Linked DNA regions of Saccharomyces cerevisiae S288C. Each later gene encodes a partner of the first gene's protein in a complex. Each region holds a gene or a part of one and is shown in the gene's direction. Other genes may lie near its edges.

The links.
Region 2: IOC2 (region 1) and IOC4 share a complex: the UniProt entries of both Saccharomyces cerevisiae proteins name them as parts of the ISW1B complex.
Region 3: IOC2 (region 1) and ISW1 share a complex: the UniProt entries of both Saccharomyces cerevisiae proteins name them as parts of the ISW1B complex.

Annotation. Positions count from the first base shown.
Region 1 is NC_001144.5:327,857-334,214, reverse strand, and holds IOC2 (Ioc2p), read left to right. Parts: upstream 1-2,099; coding exon 2,100-4,538; downstream 4,539-6,358. Other genes in the region: serine/threonine protein kinase KIN2, read right to left, coding at 1-1,625; GIS3 (Gis3p), read left to right, coding at 4,977-6,358. UniProt on the Saccharomyces cerevisiae protein: Functions as a component of the ISW1B complex, which acts in remodeling the chromatin by catalyzing an ATP-dependent alteration in the structure of nucleosomal DNA.
Region 2 is NC_001145.3:353,804-359,200, forward strand, and holds IOC4 (Ioc4p), read left to right. Parts: upstream 1-1,580; coding exon 1,581-3,008; downstream 3,009-5,397. Other genes in the region: transcription factor MCM1, read left to right, coding at 68-928. UniProt on the Saccharomyces cerevisiae protein: Functions as a component of the ISW1B complex, which acts in remodeling the chromatin by catalyzing an ATP-dependent alteration in the structure of nucleosomal DNA.
Region 3 is NC_001134.8:706,476-713,800, reverse strand, and holds ISW1 (chromatin-remodeling ATPase ISW1), read left to right. Parts: upstream 1-2,261; coding exon 2,262-5,651; downstream 5,652-7,325. Other genes in the region: snoRNA-binding rRNA-processing protein ENP1, read left to right, coding at 1-797; RRT2 (diphthamide synthase), read right to left, coding at 1,047-2,210; glutathione peroxidase GPX2, read right to left, coding at 5,785-6,273; ALG7 (UDP-N-acetylglucosamine--dolichyl-phosphate N-acetylglucosaminephosphotransferase), read left to right, coding at 7,008-7,325. UniProt on the Saccharomyces cerevisiae protein: Catalytic component of ISW1-type complexes, which act by remodeling the chromatin by catalyzing an ATP-dependent alteration in the structure of nucleosomal DNA. They are involved in coordinating transcriptional repression, activation and elongation phases.

The DNA of each region.
Region 1 (6,358 bases):
TTAGTGCCAAGTGCTACTTGTTGCTGTTGTTGCCTTTGCTGAGCTTGCGCTTGCAGGGCCAATGCTTGCCTTCTTTGCAACTTCGCTAATTTCCGTGCAACCATTTCTGAAACCAAGTGATATATTGATAGTAATGGATGATATGCTAAAGTAGGATCTTCAAAATTACTATCTGGTTCATTATAACCACTTTGCGATGGATTACTTGTAATATGATTTTGTATTAAGGTTTGTTGTGCCGTTGAATTTAGGTAGTTATTATTTAAACTTGAACTCAACCCCTTGGCGTTGGATAATTTGTCCCAGTATTCTTGGGAAAGTTGGATGTATTCCTTTTCAGTTACTAATCGGATCAATGATCTTCTTGTATCTTCAATATCGTCAATAAATTCTAGGCGATACATTTCCTTCAGAACTTGGCTATCTATCATTTCAGGGGTTAATGGAACACGATTAGGAACATATGATGGAGCCTTAAAATCGTATCCTCTGTTCATCCATGGATGCTCAACGACATTCTTTAATGTTGCTCTTCTTAATGGGTCGACAACAATCATCCTGGTTAATAAAGATATAACTTCAATGGATAAGTGTGAAGGATAGTCTACTTTACCTTTTTTTATTTTTTCATGTAAAATGCTTGAGTTCTCATCATCAAATGGTACTTTACCGCAGACCAAGACATAAAGAACAATACCAAACGACCAAATATCTACCTCAGGTCCTGTGTATGGCTGCGCTTTTAATAGTTCTGGTGCTGCAAAGTACAAGGAACCACAAAACGTATGTAATTGTTTCCTATAATCAAAAATGTTGGAAAGACCAAAATCAATGATCTTAATTTCACCTGAACTAGATATCATTATATTCTCAATTTTCAGATCTCGATGAACAATATTATTGGCATGTAAGTATTGCAGCGCACTAGCTATACCTCTGGCAAATTTCCTCGCATGGTGTTCCTTTAATGAGCCATGCTGAATAATATAATCTAACAGCTGTCCACCGGAAACGTATTCAAAAAGCATATAAAAATGGTTTGACATAGTGCACATTTCAAATAAACGACAGATATGAGGATGGTAAAGGATTTGGCCCAAAGAGGCTTCCCTAACAGTCCTTTTATCCCTCGCAATTTCTTTTTCTAACCGCTTTTGTCTTTCTAATATCTCACTCTCATTCTTTGGGGAAGGTAAAGAGTGCTGTTTATGGAGATAAGCCTTGGAAGCCCTATTAACAATCTTTATTACACAAATTTCCTTTGTTTGACGATGCTTGACCAATTTAACTTTACCCATAGAGCCTGCGCCAACCGTTTCAAGGAACTCCCAATCTCCCAAAGATCTTCTATGAAATTGCCTTAATTCCACGGCGCCATTAGGCCTCGATGCATCATTTTGTCTCTGAGCTGCCTGTTCCTTGCCCTGTTTGATATCTGCAGGAGGCATCAGTGGTGCTTGTTGCTGGTCATTTCTTGGTCCAGATTGCTTGCCCATCATGCGAAGAGTGGCTGGTGCAGCAACTCGCGTGTCGTTGAAAGCTTCTGGCGTCGGCGATAAAGATCCGCCCTTACTGGTCCTGAAATTTGGATTCACCAAGTAATCTGCTGTATTCGGATTAGGCATAGTGAAATACTTAACAATTGAGCCGCGATATTAATGGCACAATAAAACTTTTAGAAATTTCTTTTGAAAAGCGTTTCTCGGTACCTAATGCTGTTCGCGCTCAGAGTTCCGCTGAATTTCGTGTAATGCAGTATATTTTGTAATAAAGTTCTCGTGGCCCGTCCTTGACTGTGAATTTGTGTCAACGGCGTGCTCTATTCCTTGCTTAAACGGTGGCAAAGCAGGACTTCTAGGTCCACTTGAGCTCTTCTTTTCCTTTTCCAACCTTTTTAAATTTTCGTTGCTAGACCAAGTTACCGCTATCACCGCACACGGAATGCGAGAGCGTCAAAAGTGACATAATTCTTCCTTTCCAGCAACATTAACATTTATTTATTCAATAGTGACACGACTAAGAAACTAGATCAATTGCTCTATTTTACTCATACACACTGGCTAATCATATATAGATACAAAGCGGTGAATCAGCGATCGATGAGAACGAAGAGAACTAGGGGTACAAGAAATGTAGGAGCGAGCATGCCTGCCGGCGCTGCGAATGCGGATAGTGAAGACTGGAAAGAATATGTCTCCGAAGACATAATAGCCCAATTGAACAAGCACCAGCTGCCGTATTCTGAAATATTAGATGAGAAGATCGCGGACTTGGCCAATCACTGGCACTTCCAGTATGTGATGGCTTGGCTTTCCAATGTCTGCGAATCATATACTACAACGACATTTAATACTGACCAGTATGGCGGTAGCTCTACCAAATGCTTGTGGAAGAATATCAAATTCGATGAAGGTGTATTTGTAACTGACGTATTTTCGAAGATAGACGGGAAGGACTCGAACTATTACAATGATGAAGTCGACGTAGATGAAGGATCGCAAAATTTGTACGACAGAATTAGATTGCAATTATTGCATCAATTAGCGGGAAATAAAAGCGGGCAATTGAAAGATTGGAATGTTATAGTTAACCATCACTTGCAAAACTCGAGCGCGTATTCAGATTTGGTTACGGACTTACCTTTTTTGGAGCTTGAAATTGCACGCCAATTCGACATCATTTACAGTATCATAAAATTAATTGAAATGAAAAATATGATCTTCAAAAACTACTTAGCGAATAACTTGCATCTGTTTACGTTTAGTGAAGTTATACTGGATGATGATAATAGTGGAGGGGAGGAAATGAAGAGCTTGTTTGCCTTACCCAATGTTGGTGTACTCGTAAAGAAAACCATTCACAGAGTAAAAGAAGGCTCTTCCTCCCAAGTCTCTCAAACTCTGAATATCCCAATAAAACTACAGAACTGTACTATAAAAGAAAGCGACCCAGACATTCCTGATTCAGTGGAGCTTATTCATCTCGAGTACTCTCACGATATCGATGCATATCTTCAATCGATTACAATTGATTATGATGTGATTACAACTAATTGGGGGTCCATGCTAGAATACTGGTCAGAGAATAAAAGTTCGAAAGCCATAGATGAGTTCATAACTAACTTAATACCGGTGTATGCCGAACATAGACTATATTCGGCAAAACTTTTGGCCAACAGAGAAAAGGAGAGAGCAATTGCGGAGCTAATGACAAGGAGGAAAAGATCTTCGAGACTGGTAGCGAAAGAGGAAGAAAACAAGAAAAAAGACTTGGAAAGTGAGTGGTTTGAAAAACTAGATGAAAGAGAACAATTTATAAGGCACAGAAACAAGCTAGTGTCGAAGGAAATCAAAAAGATAAAAGATCTTCTTTGGAACCAATTGTGGCAATTGTACGATCAAGATTATAGAGATGAAAAATTGACCAGGCGTAACGAGCTCAAAGATAGAAGTGGTTCTGGTACACCGTTTTTTGAAACGTCTTTGGGCAGGGAGGAGGACAATCCCTTAAATGAAATCGATATCGGAGTTCTTGATCACGGCCCTAACTTTCAATCTAGTATAATCCCGGTGGAACCACCAATTCCTGGAACTGTTGGGCCACTACAGACGGGAGACGTCCCTGAATTGCCTAGTGACTTCTGCATAACAAAGGAAGAGCTAGATGAGCTTGCCAACTACGGGATCTTTACTCCGCAGCAAGAGCCCGACAACCAAGATTCTGTTTTCCAATGTCCGGGCGAACCAGAGCTGGCGCCCATGATTATCACCGAAGACACGGAGACTGACCTCTTCAATAACCGCCCATTGATATGCTGTGATCATTGTTACAGGTGGCAGCATTGGGAATGCCAACCTCCAAAAATTATAGAGCTTATATCTTCAACCACAAAATCCCCACAGCACACGCTGTCGCAACGTGATTTTGGCGTCATCATAATGGGAAATTCGCACGGCAATAGAAGGTCTTCTCGCAGACCCCAATCCACACTTGAACCCAGCACCAAGTCTTCAAGACCTACTGATAAACGCAAACCGCTGTCTGAATGCTCCACTTTTATCTGCGCTTGGTGCATCAGGGACTTGGAACTTGAGCTGCGCAACATTTTTGTGCCTGAATTGAAAATAATAAGGGCCAAACAAAGAAAACAACAGGAAGACCGTGAAAGAAGAAAAAAAATGAAGGAAGAAAAGAAAAGGCTCGAAGAGCTTGCAAAGAAAAGGGAACTAACCGAGTCTGTCTCACCTCCAGTGTTTAATAATGCATTTGCAAACATGTCAAGTAGCACAACGCCTAGTATCGCCGCTTACGAAAAAACAAATCCAGCCATCAATCCAGCACCTAATGTAAATGCCGCTCACCCCATAATTACATACTCGCAGCAAACTGGCAGCAAAACTGTACCACAAGCACCACAGGCACCACAAACATCACAAGCATCAATCCAACCACAGCAGCAACAGCAACAGCAACAGCAACAGCAACCGCTGCACCCTAAAGAACAGAACTTTCACTTCCAGTTCCCACCAACCAACTAGCCTCATATAGAAATACACAGCAAAAGTATATAGTAAAATATATATCAACTGGTTCTTCATGAAACTTTCTTTTCCAGCCGCACATCCGTAGGGCTTCTGTCGCTTCATGTCGGGTAATAATGATGCTTAGGGCTTAGCGCCAAAATAATTAGGGTGTATGAGGCGGCTCCTGACTAGGGTCAGACGGCATTTTTTCGTCTTTTTTTATCCGGTTTTTCGTCAGTGGCCATCCTTAATGCGCGGCAAAGGTGCTGAAGGCGCCTTATTGTGTTAAAAAAGCCAATGAAATAAAAGTGGGATGGTGAGAACGCCAAACGAGTGAAACAGAGAATGGAAACTCGCTTCTTCACAAGTATTTGATGGCTAGTTTTCTCAATTACTTGTTTCTTTGGATAGACACGAACATACAGAACACTTTCAACAAGACATAATTATAGAATGCTGCTGGACGTGAACACAAATCACACACTAATGCACGATGCTCATGTGCATGAACATTGCCTCATCAAAAGCATACGTGATGATGGCGCATTGCACTCATGGAGCGACTCATCAAAGGTATTTTATCCCAAGTCATTTTACGCTACCGCTACTAATAAGAAGAATAACAAGTTAGCCAGCGCCAGCATGAACAAGACCGCCACAAGTAATAGGACGGTGAGCGATGAGATTTATTTCCACTCCACTAAGCCGCAGTTCGATGGTCAAGGAAGCGCTGAACGTACTAGAACACTAACCAAGAGGAATAGCTTCAAGAGGACTAGAATACTGAAGGCTCGAGACGATTCCGAACTGCTGAACGAAAATCGCTCATCTTTGATGACCCCGTCCTTAAGCTCGGTCATGTCGCAAGTTAGGAAAACAAATTCCGCCAAGACGTTATCGGGCGAATGCCCCATACATGAGGGCCACTTAACACAGAGCATAAAGAGGAAGTTCTCCGAGGAAGCTCAAAGCGACTGTTCTTCATTGAGCTCCTCTAAACTTCATCCCTTGACAGATGATATTGCTGACGCTGTCGATTTGCAGACCCCCGCGATTGGCGATGAGGTACTGGCTGAGCCGGTCGTGCCCAAAATGAAAATAATAAACATAAATGATCTCGATTTGTTCGACGACTGGGAGGTTAAGGATTTAGTCGATATCTTTCCTCCCGTATACGAACGGCGTCCGCGATCGTCCTCTGCCCTTTCACTGGTTTCTGCGTCGTCCGATGCCAAACTTCGTCCGACCTCTGTGGACTTCCAAATCATCGACAAGAAAGGCGGCAAGACTTCAAGAAGGAAGAGTAGGAGCAAATCGACTACAGAAAACATGATTTACGAAAATGACCTGGTAGAATTAGAACAATGGCCATCTGCATCACCATCGCCCGAGACCGACGGTTCGATTGCATCTAGCGAGCTCTTGCCCAATAAAAGAATAAGACAAAAAAGTTTGAATACCAATTTCCTAAAGTTATACTCTATTGAAACATCATGTAAAAGGAAGAGTATTTTACCCGAAGTCGAAGTAGATGACCATCTGTTGAAGCAGCTAACGTATTCCGAAATTCGGTCTTTGGAAATCAAAAAGGAGCCAAATGTCTCTACGAACGATATTAAGCTTGCCCTAATTACTAGGAAAAAATTATGGTCTGACATGGTCCATGAAACAAGAAATGATCTTTTTGGCGATTCTACCCCCTGGAATTTGCACTTTGTTGCAACGACAAGCAATACGGAACCTTCGCAAGGCCGTGAATCCGCAAGCGAACATGCAACGGCGGATTTGAAAAGTTCTTTGGTCCGCGTACACTCAGACGTCAAGCCATGGTTCAA
Region 2 (5,397 bases), on another chromosome or scaffold:
ATCAAAAAAAAGTTTTGGATCTGCAAGACTTGCTGTCACGCAACAATATTATAGCCACCCAGCAAAAATGTCAGACATCGAAGAAGGTACGCCTACTAATAATGGGCAACAGAAGGAGAGAAGAAAGATAGAAATTAAGTTCATCGAGAATAAAACAAGGCGCCATGTGACATTTTCCAAAAGGAAGCACGGTATCATGAAAAAGGCGTTTGAGCTTTCTGTTCTAACGGGGACCCAGGTCCTGTTGCTAGTCGTTTCAGAAACAGGTTTGGTATATACTTTCAGCACGCCGAAGTTTGAACCTATAGTCACGCAGCAGGAAGGTAGAAACCTGATCCAGGCCTGTCTTAACGCCCCTGATGATGAGGAAGAAGACGAGGAGGAAGACGGTGATGATGATGATGATGATGACGATGATGGTAATGATATGCAACGCCAGCAACCACAACAACAGCAACCGCAACAACAGCAACAAGTATTGAATGCACACGCAAATAGCTTAGGCCATCTAAATCAAGATCAGGTACCGGCAGGCGCGCTGAAACAAGAGGTGAAGTCACAATTGCTAGGCGGTGCCAATCCTAATCAAAACTCAATGATTCAACAGCAGCAACATCACACGCAGAATTCACAACCACAACAGCAACAGCAACAACAACCACAGCAGCAAATGTCACAGCAACAAATGTCACAGCATCCTCGACCACAGCAAGGAATACCACATCCGCAACAATCGCAGCCACAGCAACAGCAACAACAACAACAACAACTGCAACAGCAGCAACAGCAGCAACAACAACAACCCCTCACCGGCATTCATCAGCCTCACCAACAGGCTTTTGCCAACGCTGCCTCCCCCTATCTGAATGCTGAACAGAATGCTGCCTACCAACAATACTTTCAAGAACCGCAACAAGGCCAATACTAATCTTATCGATTTCCGTATATAATTCATAGACGAGCATTAAGAGGAAAAAGCTGTTTCCGTACCAATTAAAGAAAGATAGACAACAAGAACAAAAACGTACATTACTCTATATTGAAAAAAGCCCTATGTCGGTAAAAGAATAGGAAGTACCTTAGTCATCGGCACTTACCTTTTTTTTTACGATTACTTCTGGTTTGTTTCTTTGCCTCATTTCATTTTGCTGCCACTTTCTTTCATAGGCAAGAAGATTCAATCAAATCTCCCCTTCTCCTTCCCCGGATATATAAAATATAAATATAAAACTTTAAGAATATAAAAATATGAGAAACCACACATAACTTGTATACTTTACTCACATACACACATTTCCAAAAAAATTATAATGTTAATTACATTGCTTTTAATGCTAATCTTTTTTTAGTTGTATAATCATTACCATATAAATGCCTCTCGGTCTAATTTCATTGCCAGTATTGTAAGTTATATACTTTTATACGAGTGTACGGAAAATATCGTGGCTCCCCGTTAACAGTGAAATAAATCTACGCATGTAGCTGCCAGTTTTTTAAGCGTTATATCAATATTGGTAAAGTAAGAATTGACGAAGAAATTGTTAACTACATTTTTCAGAACGGCGTGTCATTCTCCGATAATGTCTGAAGCGATATTCCAGCCAACGGACATTGTCCTTGCCAAAGTTAAAGGCTTTTCAGCATGGCCAGCAATGATTATCCCTAATGAACTCATCCCAGATAACATCCTCAAGACCAAACCTGTGAGTGTCCACAAAGGCAAATCAGGTAGTGATAAAAAAGCAAATGAAGATATAGATGCAGACATGGAATCAGAGGCTAGAGATCGAGAGCAAAGCGAAGAAGAAGAAGATATAGAGGATTTTGGTGAGAGTGAGGCTAATCCTGAAAAATTTATAATATACACTCCCGTTCTGAAGTTTCGTAAAAATGATACGTTGAAATCGACTTACTGCGTCAAGTTTTTTTGCGATGATTCTTATATCTGGGTGAAGCCCATGGATATGAAGATTCTAACAAGCGAAGATTGTCGTAAGTGGCTAAGCGGCAAACAGCGGAAGAATAAGAAACTCATACCGGCATATGAAATGGCTATGAGAGGCAAAAATGGAATTGATATTTGGGAATTTGTGGAATATGGGTCTTACGGCAAGCCAGATGAAGAGGAATATGTAGAGGAAGAGGAAGAAGAGAACGAACCTGAAAAAAAGGCTATAAGGCCAACCAGGTCTTCCAGTAGACAGCGTCAGAAGCGCGCCTCAGAAACGGAAAAGAGTGAGGGCGGTAATAGCAATAAAAGGAAAAGAGTTACTAGATCGACTAGGCAACAAGCGATAGATGCTTCAGAAGAGGAAGAGGAGGAAGAGGAGGAAAAAGTACAAGAGGCTGTTAGAAAGAGGCCGCAAAGGACCAAAACTAAGAAAGTTGTAGTATCCAAGACTAAACCAAATCCAAAAACAAAGGCAAAGAAAGAGAAACCTAAACCACCTAAGCCAATCAAATATCATTTTGAAGATGATGAAGATTGGAGCATTGTTGGGTTGGGCCCACAAGATCTATCAATCGAAAAAACGATGGATCCGATTGCGAAAAAACTGTCGCAGAAGAAAAATCTAGAAAAGCATGTGGAGATTAAGCTAGATCTGGAGGATAAACTAGCAGGTATCAACAAGCTCCTGTGTGATGTCTTATGTTCAGCCATTAACCAGGCTGTTTCGATAAAGGATGATTTCGAAATAATATTAGATGAATTGCAGATTGCCCTTGACACCAGGGGGTCCAGAAACGAATTTATAACAATTTTCCAATCAAATAATTCCCTACTGTTAAACTTTAGGATATTATTTAACTTAAGAAAAAGGGAACTGAACAAATGGGATCTGTGGGATCGTTTCCAGGATATTTTCAAGCATATTTATTCCTACCAGTTCATACCTGATACGGAAGATTGGCAACTAGAGCAAAATATGGAAATTGAAGAAATGGATCGGGAAAAGCCGAGCTTTAGTGAAGACGTAAAGGAAGAAGAAAGCAAAGTAGGAGCATGACCTGTTGCTATTGCAGTTGATGTACTCTGCTTTTGAACAATAGAGGGGAAACCTGTGTACTATAAAATAGACTAAAACTATGTAACTTGTGTATGTTCTGATATGTATGACGCAGTCTTTGATAGTCCAAAACTCACCTAGACTGTGCTGTATTATTACAATTAAAGTTCTAAGTCTGTTGTGCATTATCATTTGAGAAATGGGGGAATGTTGAGATAATTGTTGGGATTCCATTGTTGATAAAGGCTATAATATTAGGTATACAGAATATACTAGAAGTTCTCCTCAAGGATATAGGAATCCTCAAAATGGAATCTATATTTCTACATACTAATATTACGATTATTCCTCATTCCGTTTTATATGTTTCATTATCCTATTACATTATCAATCCTTGCACTTCAGCTTCCTCTAACTTCGATGACAGCTTCTCATAACTTATGTCATCATCTTAACACCGTATATGATAATATATTGATAATATAACTATTAGTTGATAGACGATAGTGGATTTTTATTCCAACATACCACCCATAATGTAATAGATCTAATGAATCCATTTGTTTGTTAATAGTTTGAATGTTTTTATCGGAAGAGGTTTGGTCATTACGTCTGCAATATTCTTTTTGGTTTCGATATAGCATACGTGCAGATGATTTCCTGATACTTCATCTCTCAGTCTCATTGCTTTAGTACCAAAAAATCTGTTTCTAAATTTCTCTTCATTATTGGATATAATTATACTGATTGTAGATTTACTGTCGGTTAGTAATCCTTTGGTAATTGGTTTCTTGTCGAGTTCTTGTATCAGGTAACTTAGATTATTTAATAATGGGACAGATTCACTTATTGCGTGTATTTCTGCTTCCGTAGTTGAAGTACATGTTAATGAAGCCTTGGTGGACTTTCCTCCAATTACTTTTCCATTAAGTAAATATATGTTGCCAATTTGTGATTTATAATACGGTTGGTTACCATACGATGCATCGCTTATAACAACTAATTTATTTGTTGGCTTAACAGGTTTGCTTTTGTGCCATATTAATTGCTTATCTCTCGTATTCCATATGAACTGTATCAATTCATATGTCATATCTAACACTTGCTTGGACGGAAATAGTATATGTTGTGCAAGTGTGTTGATGTAGTATAATAGGTCAAATCTAAATTTATATCCAACATATGATGCTAGACCTATCAGCTTTTGCATTTCATGTACCTTCATTTTGTAATCATCTTCTTCTAGCTCTAGTTCTTGCTGGTCTATATATAGACCTGGTTGACCTGGAGCGCTAAGTTTCCTTCCTTTTGGGTTCAAAGGTACGTTTAGTTTGGGTATTTTTTCAGTTAATGAGTTTTCCATACCCAATTTCATGTATTTACCTCTTTGGTATTTGATTTCCAAGCCAAGAATGTCATATTGAATTTCCTCATCACTTTCGCCTAGATTTATAATCTTGGTGTCGTATTGCATCTTAAGCTTGTCTATAATTCTTTTGTTTGAATTTAGATTTTTGCTAAACAGTACCATATCATCTACGAATAAACAAATTGTCACTTGACTGTTTTCAAATACGCATGACCATCCACGAACTTCTTCCATACCACACTGTTTTATCAGGTATGATTTGATAGTTTCGTACCAGTTCGCTCCACTTTGTTTCAATCCATAAAGTGATTTCTTCAAACGTATCAACTTATCATTCATTCCTAAATGTGGTGGAGGTCTTATGTATAATTCTTCTTTGATGTCTGCATACAAATATGCCGAAGATATGTCTAATTGTGTAATATAGTAGTTATTGTCTAATGCAAGTGACAGGGATGTCATTAATGCATAGTGATGTACGGTATTGGATTGCATGCCTGAGTCGTAAGTGTCAGGATGCTGAATATCACCTCTTGCAACAAATCTAGCTTTATGAGTACCGTCACGTTTCCTGTTGAAGATAAACATTGAATTTATTACTCTTTTAGGGTCTATTTCTTTTCTGTCATAATATTTGTCAGTGTCCCAAGTTTTCATCTTCAACAGTTGATTGACTTCTTTGTGGTATGCCTCGATATATTTTTCTTTTTCTTTAATATCTTTATTATAGGTGATTGCCTCATCGTATCGTAAGGTTGTTCGTATTGGTTTGATTGATTTTACTGCTTTTACAGCTGCAATCAGGTGGATTCGTTTCTTCGATCTCGGAGGTTCTAAACTACGCATATTCTTAGTATTCCATGTGTCTCGTGATACCTTAATTTCAGTTTCATTATCTTCTAATGATCTTTTCTTACTGTTGATAGTAGTATAGGCATTAGAGTCACCAATACCACCCAAACTGGAATTAGTTTGACGAGAATTGATCGGTGGAAGTTCTTTAAAGGAGTCTGATAATTC
Region 3 (7,325 bases), on another chromosome or scaffold:
GTATTTTAAAAACTTGGACGCACGGTAAGTTGCCAAAGTTGTTCAAGGTTATCCCATCCTTAAGAAATTGGCAAGATGTCATTTATGTGACCAACCCGGAAGAATGGTCACCACACGTTGTTTACGAAGCAACGAAATTATTTGTATCCAACCTAACTGCTAAAGAATCTCAAAAATTTATTAACCTAATTTTACTTGAACGTTTCCGTGACAATATCGAGACCAGTGAAGACCACTCTTTAAACTATCATATATACCGTGCGGTGAAAAAATCGCTTTATAAACCAAGTGCCTTCTTCAAAGGTTTCCTATTCCCATTGGTTGAAACAGGGTGTAATGTACGTGAAGCGACAATTGCAGGAAGTGTGCTTGCTAAAGTCTCTGTTCCGGCTTTACATTCTTCAGCTGCCTTGAGTTATCTTTTAAGGCTACCTTTCTCTCCACCTACAACTGTTTTTATCAAAATATTGCTCGATAAAAAATATGCTTTACCGTACCAGACGGTGGACGACTGCGTGTATTACTTTATGAGGTTTAGAATTTTGGATGACGGTAGTAATGGGGAAGATGCTACAAGAGTACTCCCAGTGATATGGCACAAGGCTTTCTTAACATTTGCACAACGTTACAAGAACGATATTACCCAGGATCAGAGAGATTTCTTGTTGGAAACTGTTCGTCAAAGAGGCCATAAAGATATCGGTCCTGAGATTAGAAGAGAACTATTGGCAGGAGCCAGCAGGGAGTTTGTTGATCCACAGGAAGCTAATGATGATTTAATGATTGATGTCAATTGATGCTGTAATATCAATTTTTCATCAATTTTATATCGCTCGGTCTTTCCCCCTTTCAACAAAGCTTCTGAATCATGTATAATAAGTAGAAAATATAGAGTAAAAGATTATTGTTCAGGCAAGTTCCTTCCTATCAATTCTTTATGCATAATCTATCGAAATCATCAAAATATGGCCTATATATTAGCCTATATATTAGCCTATATATTAGCCTATATATTAGTCCATATATTGCAGACTGAATTTTTTTTTCTAAACTATCCATGTTTGCAAGGAATTATCATAAAATGAGCATGTTGCGATCAAAGAATTTGACCAGTCGCCACCGTAACACATCGAATCATGGCCCTTCTTCAGATAATGTTGAATTTGAAAATACTCATCGGAATTATCATTCATGGTCACCACCTTGGCACCATTGTACATGCAACAAACTAAAAGCCGATCGGAGCCGTTGTGGTGAGATTGTTCCTGATCAATGGGGGATTCAACAAATCTCCAAACACCGCCACCAAGATCACACGCCAATTTATTAACTGTGGGGACATTTGCACCAGGAAATATGGACTCACCCATCATCCTTAAATCCAGAGAACGAATGTTATCATCATAGGATCCAGTTATTATGGACGTGGGTTTATTATTTCGAAAGTTAGGTTGACTACACTTAATGCTAACAACACCAGCATCATGAATACGATTATTACTCCAAATGAATTCTTTGGAACGTAAGTCGTGGGCCATAATTCTCGAATCATCACCTCCTGTAAATACAACGTCTTGAAAAGGCTGTAGAGATCCAAATTCCGCAGTCCAACACTCGAGTTCATGGGGTTTCAAAAATTGTCCCGATTCAACATGAATGACTTTTTCGGTTGCACCTTGAACTTCGTAATCTATTTTATCTAGTTTTGAGTAAGCCTGCGCGATTGCTGATGCCGTGAACTGTACAGATAGTGTTCTTATATCAATGGTAGCTGCTTCGCCTGCCGTATTTGTTACAAGTAATTTCTTACAATCAAGTGGGGAAAAATGGCACGAGGCAATGAGAACATCTTTTTCAAAGAGTTGTAGATTTGCAATTGCATGAATATCTAGTTCGTTTGATTGGAAATCATCCTTATCTGTGCACCGTATCCTCCATAGCATGATATTACCTGTCGAATGGGCCGTGCATATCAATGTATCATCAAAGGGGGATAACTTCAAATCTAGGATTGCGCCATACGTATTATTCGAACATAAAAGTTTGAGGTCCATTGTGAAGACATCCAGTGAGCCTGACCTGTATCCAGTTGACTTATCTAAATCATACGTCCCAACAAGGATGATCTTATTCCTGAATATTCTCAAACAACACGGCGGTAGTTTTGTTTTCACTGCATTTAGTACATCTGATTCTTGAATAGAGTCCATATGTATAGCTATGCAAAAACCAGCTAGAGGTGGATGTAGAAATACCCTATTATGGCCTATATGTTAGCTATTGCAAATTTTCACTTTTTCAAGTTCTATACTAGAATGAGAAAAAAACACGAAAACAATTCTTGCAATGAAAAGGACAAAGATGAGAACCTATTCAAAATTATTCTCGCCATATTTTTGCAAGAAAAAAAAAAATACGATTGTATTTCATCTGGTTCAATTATGACTGCTTCAGAAGAGTACTTGGAGAATTTAAAACCGTTCCAGGTCGGTCTCCCTCCACATGATCCTGAATCGAATAAAAAACGTTACCTGCTGAAGGATGCTAATGGTAAAAAGTTTGATCTGGAAGGCACTACAAAAAGATTTGAACATCTGCTATCCTTGAGTGGTTTATTCAAGCATTTTATTGAAAGTAAAGCCGCTAAAGATCCCAAATTCAGGCAGGTCTTAGATGTATTAGAAGAAAATAAAGCAAATGGCAAAGGCAAAGGCAAACACCAAGATGTTCGTAGACGAAAGACTGAACACGAAGAAGATGCGGAATTATTGAAAGAAGAAGACTCGGATGATGATGAGAGCATTGAATTCCAATTCAGAGAATCACCTGCTTACGTTAATGGTCAATTGAGACCTTATCAAATCCAAGGTGTCAACTGGTTGGTGTCTCTGCATAAGAACAAAATAGCGGGTATCCTTGCTGATGAAATGGGTTTAGGTAAGACCCTGCAAACTATTTCATTTCTGGGATATCTTAGGTACATTGAAAAAATTCCAGGTCCATTTTTAGTCATTGCGCCTAAGTCTACCTTAAATAATTGGCTGAGAGAAATAAATAGATGGACGCCAGACGTAAACGCCTTTATTTTGCAAGGAGATAAAGAAGAAAGAGCTGAACTGATCCAAAAAAAACTTTTAGGTTGTGACTTTGATGTTGTGATTGCTTCTTATGAAATTATTATAAGAGAAAAGTCGCCCCTTAAGAAGATTAACTGGGAGTATATTATCATTGATGAGGCTCACAGAATCAAGAATGAAGAGTCAATGCTTTCGCAAGTCTTAAGGGAATTTACCTCACGTAATAGGCTGTTGATTACTGGTACTCCTTTGCAAAACAATTTGCATGAACTATGGGCGTTATTAAATTTTTTGTTACCAGATATCTTTTCCGATGCACAAGATTTCGACGATTGGTTTTCTTCTGAAAGCACAGAGGAAGATCAGGATAAAATTGTCAAGCAACTCCACACTGTTTTACAGCCTTTTCTACTACGTCGTATCAAAAGCGATGTGGAAACATCCTTACTGCCTAAAAAGGAACTGAATTTATATGTCGGTATGTCTAGCATGCAGAAGAAATGGTACAAAAAGATTTTGGAAAAGGATCTGGACGCTGTGAACGGGTCTAATGGCAGCAAGGAATCCAAAACAAGACTTTTAAATATCATGATGCAACTTAGAAAATGTTGTAATCATCCATATTTATTCGATGGTGCTGAGCCAGGTCCACCGTACACTACGGATGAGCACTTGGTTTATAACGCTGCCAAACTTCAAGTTTTGGATAAGTTATTGAAGAAATTGAAGGAAGAAGGTTCTAGAGTTCTGATTTTCAGTCAAATGTCAAGATTATTGGATATTCTCGAGGATTATTGCTACTTCAGAAACTATGAATATTGCAGGATCGACGGTTCCACCGCTCACGAAGATAGAATTCAAGCCATTGATGATTATAATGCTCCTGATTCTAAGAAGTTTGTTTTCTTATTAACGACACGTGCAGGTGGGTTAGGTATCAATTTAACGTCAGCAGATGTCGTTGTCTTGTATGATTCAGATTGGAACCCACAAGCAGATTTACAAGCAATGGATAGAGCGCATCGTATTGGTCAGAAGAAGCAGGTCAAGGTATTCCGTTTGGTCACAGATAACTCCGTGGAAGAGAAAATTTTAGAAAGGGCTACCCAGAAGTTAAGATTAGATCAATTAGTTATCCAGCAAAACAGGACTTCTTTGAAAAAGAAGGAAAATAAAGCAGATTCCAAAGATGCTTTATTATCCATGATTCAACATGGTGCCGCCGATGTATTCAAAAGTGGTACATCTACCGGTTCAGCTGGTACGCCGGAACCTGGTTCAGGAGAAAAAGGAGATGATATTGATCTGGACGAACTTTTACTGAAATCAGAAAACAAAACTAAGTCATTAAATGCAAAATATGAAACTTTAGGTCTTGATGATTTGCAAAAATTCAACCAAGATTCGGCCTATGAATGGAATGGTCAAGATTTCAAGAAGAAAATACAAAGGGATATTATAAGTCCGCTACTGCTCAACCCCACCAAACGTGAACGTAAGGAAAATTACTCTATTGATAATTATTATAAAGATGTTTTGAATACAGGAAGGTCCTCGACCCCATCACACCCCAGAATGCCTAAGCCTCATGTCTTCCATTCCCATCAATTACAACCTCCCCAATTGAAAGTCCTGTACGAAAAGGAAAGAATGTGGACGGCGAAGAAGACTGGTTATGTACCGACCATGGATGACGTAAAAGCAGCATATGGCGATATTTCAGATGAAGAAGAAAAGAAACAAAAATTGGAATTGTTAAAATTGTCGGTTAACAACTCGCAACCATTAACTGAAGAGGAAGAAAAGATGAAGGCTGATTGGGAGTCTGAAGGATTTACAAATTGGAATAAATTAGAATTTAGAAAATTCATCACGGTATCTGGTAAATACGGTAGGAACTCCATTCAAGCCATTGCGAGAGAATTGGCCCCTGGCAAAACACTAGAGGAAGTTCGCGCATATGCTAAGGCCTTCTGGTCTAACATTGAAAGAATTGAAGATTATGAGAAATATCTGAAAATAATTGAGAATGAAGAAGAGAAGATCAAGCGTGTCAAAATGCAACAAGAGGCTTTACGTCGGAAGTTGTCTGAGTATAAGAATCCATTCTTCGATTTGAAATTAAAACATCCTCCTTCTTCTAACAACAAAAGGACGTACTCTGAAGAAGAAGATCGTTTTATCCTTCTCATGTTATTCAAGTATGGCTTGGATAGAGATGACGTATACGAATTAGTGCGTGATGAAATTAGAGATTGTCCCCTATTCGAATTAGACTTTTACTTCAGAAGCAGGACACCTGTAGAGCTAGCCAGAAGAGGAAATACATTACTGCAATGCTTGGAAAAGGAATTTAACGCAGGGATTGTATTGGATGACGCCACTAAAGATAGAATGAAGAAAGAAGATGAAAATGGTAAAAGGATAAGGGAAGAATTTGCAGATCAGACCGCTAATGAGAAGGAGAACGTTGATGGAGTAGAGAGCAAAAAAGCGAAGATTGAGGATACGTCGAATGTTGGAACTGAACAGTTGGTAGCAGAGAAAATTCCGGAAAACGAAACCACTCATTAAACCTTCTTTTTTTATATTTCGATTTTTTTTAATATATCCTACACCATGCTTCTGAAGAAAAATATATAATCATACTAATCTATAAATGTATTATTTATTGTTCCGGATAATTGCTTGATTATAGACAAAGATATCATTTACTTAACAGGCTTTGGATTTCTTGGTCCAAGGACGATGGTTTTGTTAAGGAGGAAAATCTTTGGACAACCTTACCATTGGAATCAACTAAGAACTTTTCAAAATTCCATTTGATACCCTTGAAACCTAGTAAACCTGCTTTTTGGCTTTTCAAATAATTATAGACAGAGTCAGCATTACTTCCGTTAACATCAATCTTCTTCATAATTGGGAATGTAACGCCATAATTCAACTGGCAAAATTCCGTAATTTGTTCATCAGAGCCCGGTTCCTGCTTCCCGAACTGATTACATGGGAACCCCAAAATAACAAACCCCTTATCTTGATATTTTTTGTATAGTTCTTCCAATTCTTTATACTGCGGCGTGAAGCCGCACTTGGAGGCAACATTAACTATGAGAACTACTTTGCCTTTCAGTTGGTCAAACTTAAAAGATTCGCCTTTCTTGTCCTTGCATTCTAAATCATAAAAAGATGTGGTCATTTTGAATTATTACTTTTTGTTGCTAATTGTATTCTTGTCAAGGTCAGCCATGCAGGGAAATGCAAGTTCTCTGCGCTACATCACATATTAGCAAATAGTAGTTCTTTATATATCAAAACAATAACAAAAGTACCTGCACATTTTTTAAAGCAGGCTGGCTTAGGGGCTTTGCACTAATACGGAGACAATGGAACTAATGCCTTTCACGATATGTGTGGCAGATATTGTGGTTTTAAACTCTTTGTCATCGGAATTACTAATTGTCTAGATATGGCCGGCCGAGTAGCCTCTAAAAAATATTAAACAGTTGAAAGTAAAATTGCTTGGAAAACACTACTGAGTCGTTGGTCATTTCAAGAGACTGCATCTATCAAAAATAGTCAAGATTTGTGTACATGTTCGTCGTACATTTAGTAAGTAACGTCCGTATTTTCCTTTTTTTAGCGGATGATGAGTAAAAAATTTCTTGTGGATTTATATGTTACGAATACAAACACAGAGGTTGATGCATGAATTTTTTCTAGCTACTACCATGTGTTTAATACAATAATAGTACAGGTTTCCTTCATCTCCTGTATATGGCCCTTTCCTTTTATATTGCCTCAATCTCGAAAAATGCTTTACTAAACAGCGCGAAAATTAAATTGTTAACATGTGTATATAACTGTGAAATATGTAAATAAAAACTTTATCAAGTAGAGCAAGGCGGAGAACGGTAACAAAAAGTAGACTATATGTTGCGACTTTTTTCACTGGCACTTATCACATGCTTAATCTACTATTCCAAAAATCAGGGCCCATCTGCTCTTGTTGCGGCCGTGGGATTTGGTATAGCAGGCTATTTAGCTACAGATATGTTGATTCCACGTGTGGGCAAATCCTTCATCAAAATAGGCCTATTCGGTAAGGACTTGAGTAAACCTGGCCGTCCGGTGCTTCCAGAAACAATAGGTGCTATCCCTGCTGCAGTTTATTTATTTGTAATGTTCATTTACATTCCCTTCATTTTCTACAAGTATATGGTCATAACCACTTCAGGTGGGGGCCATCGC